Arabidopsis thaliana: one gene and its partner. The protein of the gene in region 1 purifies or fractionates together with the protein of each later gene. This does not show direct contact. Each region holds a gene or a part of one and is shown on either strand. Other genes may lie near its edges. The genes, in order: AT5G59330 and AT1G48610.

Region 1 (3,585 bases):
TGTGGCACAGTGGCAGGTAGCTTGGCTCCATGTGCAACCTATCTATCAAAAGGTGGGTTGGTGCCACCTTCATGTTGTGCAGGAGTCAAAACTTTGAACAGTATGGCTAAAACCACACCAGACCGCCAACAAGCTTGCAGATGCATCCAGTCCACTGCGAAGAGCATTTCTGGTCTCAACCCAAGTCTAGCCTCTGGCCTTCCTGGAAAGTGCGGTGTTAGCATTCCATATCCAATCTCCATGAGCACTAACTGCAACAAGTAAGTATTTAGTTTTGTTTTACTTGATCTAGAGACCATGAATTATTTTTTCTAATGACAAAATGTGTTCTCTTGATCGTTTGGATTGTTGCAGCATCAAGTGAAATGGAAGCTTACGTCGTCGTTTTGGCGTTAAGAGTATGGTTTACCAGAAGTACTAGAATAAAATACGGCTATATATCTTAGCTGATATTACCATGTATTTGTTTTTGTCTCAATGCTTTGTCTTATTTTCATATCATATGTTGTATTGATGTGCTAAAACTATGATAATAGTACCTTATTAGTCATCTTCTTTCTAGATATCTCCTCCAACGCATACGAACGTAATAATAATATGTGAAGAGTTTTATAACTATTAAGTAACCAATAATATTAAGTTCCTAGTTTTGGAGTGACATTATTTATAAAATTGATATTTATACGAAGAAGACATGCTCAATGATTTTTCTCCTTTAACCCAAAAAAATAAATCTCTCATCCATACTGATAAAGTAAAAGCTGCTGCATCTGCAATAGAAATTTTACCATTATCCGAAAAAATAAAACTTTACGTTGACCAACCTAATTAAATAACAAAAGTAATAATCCTAATTAAATAACAAACACCTAACAACATTGTTTTTTTTAATCTAAGAACAATGTTATCAATCTTCACGATTTGATTATGCATCGAAGAAAAAAAAAAATTTTTTTTTTTTTTTTTTGGACAAAATCGTTACTAATGTCATGCAAATTTTATCAACTCTGCGTTTGCGTCAAGTTACTAATGTCATGCAAAATTTCGTCCAATATCGTGTTGTAATACCTTACTACGCAATAACGCAAAGCCATCTCAAGTTCCTCGTCAGCGACTTAAGCGGTTAAGCCCATTATACCGCATCTGATACTCTCAAATCAGATAGCATTTTTCAAAGTATGGTTGCTAGTGAAAAATTGTCAGAATTGATCTCCTGATTTGGTCAACATTTGGAGCTTAGCCTTTAGGACATTCAAGTCATAGTCATTGACTCAAACCCGTAATGTGCGTTGGGCTTTCATCAGGTCCGTTAAAGGCCCAGAATCTTCAACTTATTGAAACCATATATTGCTCAATTTCCAAAACCAGCTTGGTTTAATTTTAAGGACTCCGATAACCGGACTTACATATTAAACTCTGCTCCTGGTTTATTCTTCAAATAAGCTGGTTGGGAGAGTTGTCAATTTGTCATGTTTGATGTTGGATACACGTGTCCCTCAGTTATACATTGCACTAATTGGACGGTAATTGAGATTTGGCATAATTAAATCTCCGATTTCTAACCAGTAACCGCCATCTCCATCCTTTTAACTGTTAACTTTTTAAGAGAAAAATATGCACAGTGATGACCTTGCTTTGAATCAAAACATATATCTTAAAATAAATAAAGATATAGACGACAAAAAGTTAATGTACATAGTAACTGATAAATATATAGATCAATTTAGATATAGTACTCATAGCTAAAAACAAATTAAATTGGTGGAGGATACACTTAGATATGTTCCTTAGTTTCTCATTGCATTGAATTGAAATATGAACGGTACTGAAATAGTCCGTACACATAGCTAGCAAACTATTGATTATATATGTACGATATCGAAGATTAGTTATGCTTTGCTAACGTATGTTTAGCAAAGCATGTTATCAGTATTACTATTCAAATCTTCTGAATCGCTCAAAAGTATGATATCTTAAAATACGAAAATATACAAAATAAAAGTATAAAAAATAAAAGTAAGATACGTACTATTGTTTACATTTGACTATAGCAAAACATTCTTTCTCGTTAGTGGAAGAAACAAGAATAAAGTAAATGCGTATCTAACTTCTAACAAACCCTATACTTAGTCACCATTTTTTCCATCTAAAATCCCTATTTAAAACCATCATCACCTCCCACTTTTCTCACATCCAATAGCAAAACACAAGCTTAATTAGAAAACAAGACTTAACTAAACCTCTACTTTTGTTTGTAATAACCAAAACAAAATAGAGCAAACACAATGGCTTTGGCTCTCAGGTTCTTCATATGCTTCGTTTTGACGGTGTGCATAGTTTCATCAGTAGATGCAGAAATCTCATGTGGCACAGTGGTAAGTAACTTGGCTCCATGTGCCAACTACCTTTCAAAAGGTGGTGTGGTACCGGATCTGTGTTGTGAAGGAGTTGAAAAGTTGAACGGTGTGGCTCAAACCATGCCGATGCCTACAGTCCATTGCAAAGGGCATTTCTGGTCTCAACCCAAGTCTAGCCTCTGGTCTTCCTGAAGAGTGCGGTGTTAGCATTCCCTATCCCATTTCCTTGAGCACTAACTGCGACAAGTAAGCTTTTTTTTAATTGTTGTACATATATAGTTAGTCTCCTCTCTTTTTCTTTCTAATTAACTTAAGTACTCATTCTAACTAAACACCATGATATAATTTTTATTATTTGGTAAGGTATACGTTTTGATTGTTTTTATTGTTGCAGCGTCGAGTGAAGTTGGAGCTTAATTATATATATATGTATAATCAGATTATGGTTTTAACATAAGTAAAATAAAATGTCTATGTACGTACGCTGATCTCACCGTGCCTTTTTCTTGTGGCTTTGTAATCTTTTGGTTGTTCTGAATTGTAACTTATCATGTTAAAGATAATAATAACACCTTAATTAATCCTCTTTTCTTGTATATTTTTCCAACGCCTTTGTTCGCAACACTCTTAGTGACAAGTTCTCTAACAAAAGATCACGGATCTGAGCCTTCTGAAATGGTGAAAATCAACTTGTATCATTTTAAGTTTTTACAAAAGTGGAAAATCAACTTGTATCAACTTGCATCTATAAACTTCCATTCACCACCTCATCATAAAAAATGGAAATCAATTTGAATATATTCTTAACGCGTCATTAACAAATAGAATTTGCTTTATAAGGTCTCTTCTCCCATCCATAACCCTGACCCTTGGTGATTTCGGATCGGATAACCCACCCAACTCCACTCTGATTTCCTTGTCCTTGCCAAGCACCATATGTATTACATGTTTACATTTGATCCATTCTGGTGGAGGATGGTTCCATTTGATACATGTATTTCATGCTCCAGCTTGAGTTCTCCTATGTTCATTTTGTTCTCTTCAATTGCCCCACTTTTCTGCATCTTCGTCCAACGCACATTGAAATCCTTTCCTTTGATATGACTTTATTTCTGGATTTCCAGAGCTTCCAAATCAGCCAATGGCACTGTTTCTTTCCGAGGGTGAAACTAGTTGATTTTCATGACTTTATATGCATATAAACATACAAGTTTATTTATACCTATAA
Region 2 (3,927 bases), on another chromosome or scaffold:
CCACAGTTACCGTTACAGCCACAGCAGCCGGTTAAGAGACCGCCGGGTCGTCCTAGAAAAGATGGAACTTCGCCGACGGTGAAGCCAGCTGCTTCTGTTTCCGGTGGTGTGGAGACTGTGAAACGAAGAGGTAGACCTCCGAGTGGAAGAGCTGCTGGGAGGGAGAGAAAGCCTATAGTAGTCTCAGCTCCAGCTTCAGTGTTCCCGTATGTTGCTAATGGTGGTGTTAGACGCCGAGGGAGACCAAAGAGAGTTGACGCTGGTGGTGCTTCCTCTGTTGCTCCACCACCACCACCACCAACTAACGTAGAGAGTGGAGGAGAGGAGGTTGCAGTCAAGAAACGAGGAAGAGGACGGCCTCCTAAGATTGGAGGTGTTATCAGGAAGCCTATGAAGCCGATGAGAAGCTTTGCTCGTACTGGAAAACCCGTAGGAAGACCCAGAAAGGTAAAATATCATTCCTTTTTGTCTCTGCGATTACACAGTGATTATAGAGAACTTGAATATTTCTAGTCAAATAGATAAGAGAATAAAAGTTGGAACTTTTGTCTTGTGAATAAATGTCACTTTCCATTCTCAACATTGTCTCTTTCGAGCGTGTGTGTGGAGACTAGAGAGTATCTAACTAAATAAATTCTAGAGTTTAATTTATATTCGTGTCTCTGCTTTTGGCCTATACTTAATCTGGTTTTGTGGTGTACTATTAATCTAAGATATCTCTTTGTTTGGTAATCAAGAGCAACTTGGTAGGTGGCTCGCTTTAGCAACCAATAATTGTTCAGTTGAAGTGTGAGAATTACATATGAACTTATCTTTTGAGACAGACATCTTATCAAGTTTTGTCTGTTTTAAGCAGAAATTTAGTTAATTCAGTCAAAGTTCAAGAGTTTGTGTATTTCCAAGTCCACTAGAATTTCTTTGTCTATTATATTGATGAGTTAGTTATCTAATTACATTTATATTATTGCCATTTATAAACATAGAATGCGGTGTCAGTGGGAGCTTCTGGACGACAAGATGGTGACTATGGAGAACTGAAGAAGAAGTTTGAGTTGTTTGTAAGTAATCTAATGAACAGAAACACAATATGGTCCGTCCTTGGTTTTGATACTTAATTGCTTATGCTTGGTTTTGATATCTCATTTATGCAGCAAGCGAGAGCTAAGGATATTGTAATTGTGTTGAAATCCGAGATAGGAGGAAGTGGAAATCAAGCAGTGGTTCAAGCCATACAGGACCTGGAAGGGATAGCAGAGACAACAAACGAGCCAAAGCACATGGAAGAAGTGCAGCTGCCAGACGAGGAACACCTTGAAACCGAACCAGAAGCAGAGGGTCAAGGACAGACAGAAGCAGAGGCAATGCAAGAAGCTCTGTTCTAAAGATAAAGCCTTGACATAAAAAGCTAGCAAGTGGTGGGTTTACTTGTTGTGTGTTACATGAAATTTTTAATCTTATAAGGGTGTTTGCAGGAGAAAAACAAAAAGAACAATGTGATGAACTGATGATGATGATTGTGTCTCTAACCAAACAACAAGGAGAGGTAGGGTAATGTCTGTAAAGTGAATTAGGATGTTACCATTGTTCATGCTTCCCATCTCTCTCCATCGTCCATATCTGTGTAGGCAGCTTTGTTCTTTGTTCCCTCGTGTTTTTTTTAGACTGTTGTGTCTCTTATTCTATTTTGTCTCCTTAGGCTTTTTAGGAGTTGTTGTTGATGTTTATCAAAAACGCTTATGTAATTTTTATGACCACTTCTACTTTTTATGATGGTTTCTTCAAGTCTCTTACGTTATGTAGTTAGAAAACCATTAAATAAAAGTTGCTTATGTCAGTTGCTCTGTTTTAATTTGAAATCCGGTTTTAATTTTAAGTGTACTTATTGCAGAAATTAGGTAGAAGGTATAGAACGGTTTTACTCTTCACTCACACACCATTTAACCAAATTTCTAAATTTATTACTCGATAAACACTTTTTTAACAAGTTTTCAATACTTTTCTCCAAAAAAATTTTGAATTTGAAATAAAGTAGTGTATTTTTCGATTTTGGTTTTATAAATCAACTTTTTTTTTTGAAAAAGTTAAAAAGAAATCACCACCACATTTGCATGTTATACTATAATACCAAAAAATTAATATTCGTGATTTATTTTAAAAATCTGTGAATTAAAAAGAAAAATGAAATGTTGATAAATAAAAATAAAAACAAGGAGTAAAGGTGGACCCATATCGGTTGACGCAACTGATTCTGAACCTCTCGGTCGTTCGTTTCTACTCTTTCCAAGCTCTAGCCCATGGTGGTGACCTTCTTCTTCTAACCGCGAAAACCATCTCTATCTCTCTTATCTTTCTTCTCCGCCAAGTTTCTCTTTGTAATTTCTTTCTTCTTCCTCCAGATTCTTCAAGCTTCCTTTACCATCTCGCGAATCCTTCTATTAAGTTGAACAAGGTACGTACATTGCGATTTGCGAACCCTAGTTTTTCTCAAAACGAAATCTCTACGCGTGAGAGCCTGAATCTGTGTTTTACAGTCTTCGTTTCTAGATTCTAGGTTTGTGACATTTGAAATTTCGTTAAGGTTTTAGCGAAATCGAGTTTCTGGTTGTTTAGTTTAAGTCTAGTCTCCGTTGATGTCCGTTTTTGCTAGGGTTTTGATTCCGATTAACCGCCGTTTTCTCACATTTTGCTTTCTCTTTTTTTTTTTTTTTTCTGATTCGCATCTACAGATCTCATGGCGAAAACAGCTCTTACTCCTCCCGCGTCTGGTTCCGAAGTTCCAAGATCCGGTACACCTGGAGATGCGTCTGGCAACAAACCTCAAACGGATGCCACCGGCGTCTCAGCTACTGATACTGCTTCTCAGAAACGCGGTCGTGGTCGACCGCCAAAGGCTAAATCTGACTCTTCCCAAATCGGTGCCGTTTCTGCGAAGGCGAGTACTAAACCAAGTGGTCGTCCGAAAAGAAACGTAGCTCAGGCTGTTCCTTCTACGTCTGTGGCGGCGGCTGTGAAGAAACGTGGTAGGGCAAAGAGGTCGACTGTAACGGCGGCTGTGGTTACTACTGCTACTGGAGAGGGTTCTAGAAAACGAGGGAGGCCAAAGAAAGATGACGTGGCGGCTGCAACTGTTCCAGCAGAAACTGTGGTGGCTCCAGCTAAGAGACGTGGAAGGAAACCTACTGTCGAAGTAGCTGCACAGCCTGTGCGCAGGACTAGGAAGGTATGTTTCTCTTTAATTTCATTATCTTTATTCACAAAATGTCAAAAGAAATTTAGAAATGGTCTGATACCAATTATATGATTGTTCTTGACTGTTTGTTCTGTATAGTGTGGAAATAATTCAGGGTAATGTCTTATTTGACTCTGGTCTCAAATGTGGTCTACTTTTAGGATTGCAGTATCTGAAATTCCCCGTATTTTTAGAAAAATGTGTATCTTATCTGGATTTTGGTGTATTTTGGGAAAATGTCTTATTTAATATTGTTCTTCTTGACTGTTTCTTCTGCATATAGTAGATAAAGTTCAGAGTAATGTCTTTATTTGTCTCAAATGTGGTCTATTGTGAGTGTGAAGTATCTGATATTATTCGTAATTTCTTTGAAAAGATGTGCATCTTATCTGGATTTTGGTGTATTTCATTAAATCTTTTTTTGTATAATGTGGAAGTGAAAGTGATTGGTCTATTTGGTAAGAAGTTATCATGTAATTTGAGTCCAAATAAATTTCACAAGTGTTTAGTTCATGTTAGACATAACAATGCTTAATGTATAATTTTAACAAAAGGTATATACCAATTATACGGTTGTTCTTGACTGTTTGTTCTGCATATATAGTGGAAAAAGTTTAGAGTTGTATGTTATTTGTCTCTGGTGGTCTCAAATCTGGTTAATTTTAGGTTCTGCAGAATTTGAAATGATTCGTAATATT

Evidence for each region.
Region 2: the proteins of AT5G59330 (region 1) and AT1G48610 fractionate together in Arabidopsis thaliana (co-fractionation; one large-scale study listed by BioGRID). This does not show direct contact.

What each region holds. Positions count from the first base shown.
Region 1 is NC_003076.8:23,929,129-23,932,713, forward strand, and holds AT5G59330 (Bifunctional inhibitor/lipid-transfer protein/seed storage 2S albumin superfamily protein), read left to right. Parts: upstream 1-2,185; 5' UTR 2,186-2,285; coding exon 2,286-2,549; 3' UTR 2,550-2,603; intron 2,604-2,751; 3' UTR 2,752-2,943; downstream 2,944-3,585. Other genes in the region: LTP3 (lipid transfer protein 3), read left to right, coding at 1-260, 355-364.
Region 2 is NC_003070.9:17,971,603-17,975,529, reverse strand, and holds the start of AT1G48610 (AT hook motif-containing protein), read left to right. Parts: upstream 1-2,127; 5' UTR 2,128-2,449; intron 2,450-2,726; 5' UTR 2,727-2,731; coding exon 2,732-3,220; intron 3,221-3,927. Other genes in the region: HON5 (high mobility group A5), read left to right, coding at 1-447, 984-1,058, 1,152-1,382. UniProt on the Arabidopsis thaliana protein: May bind DNA.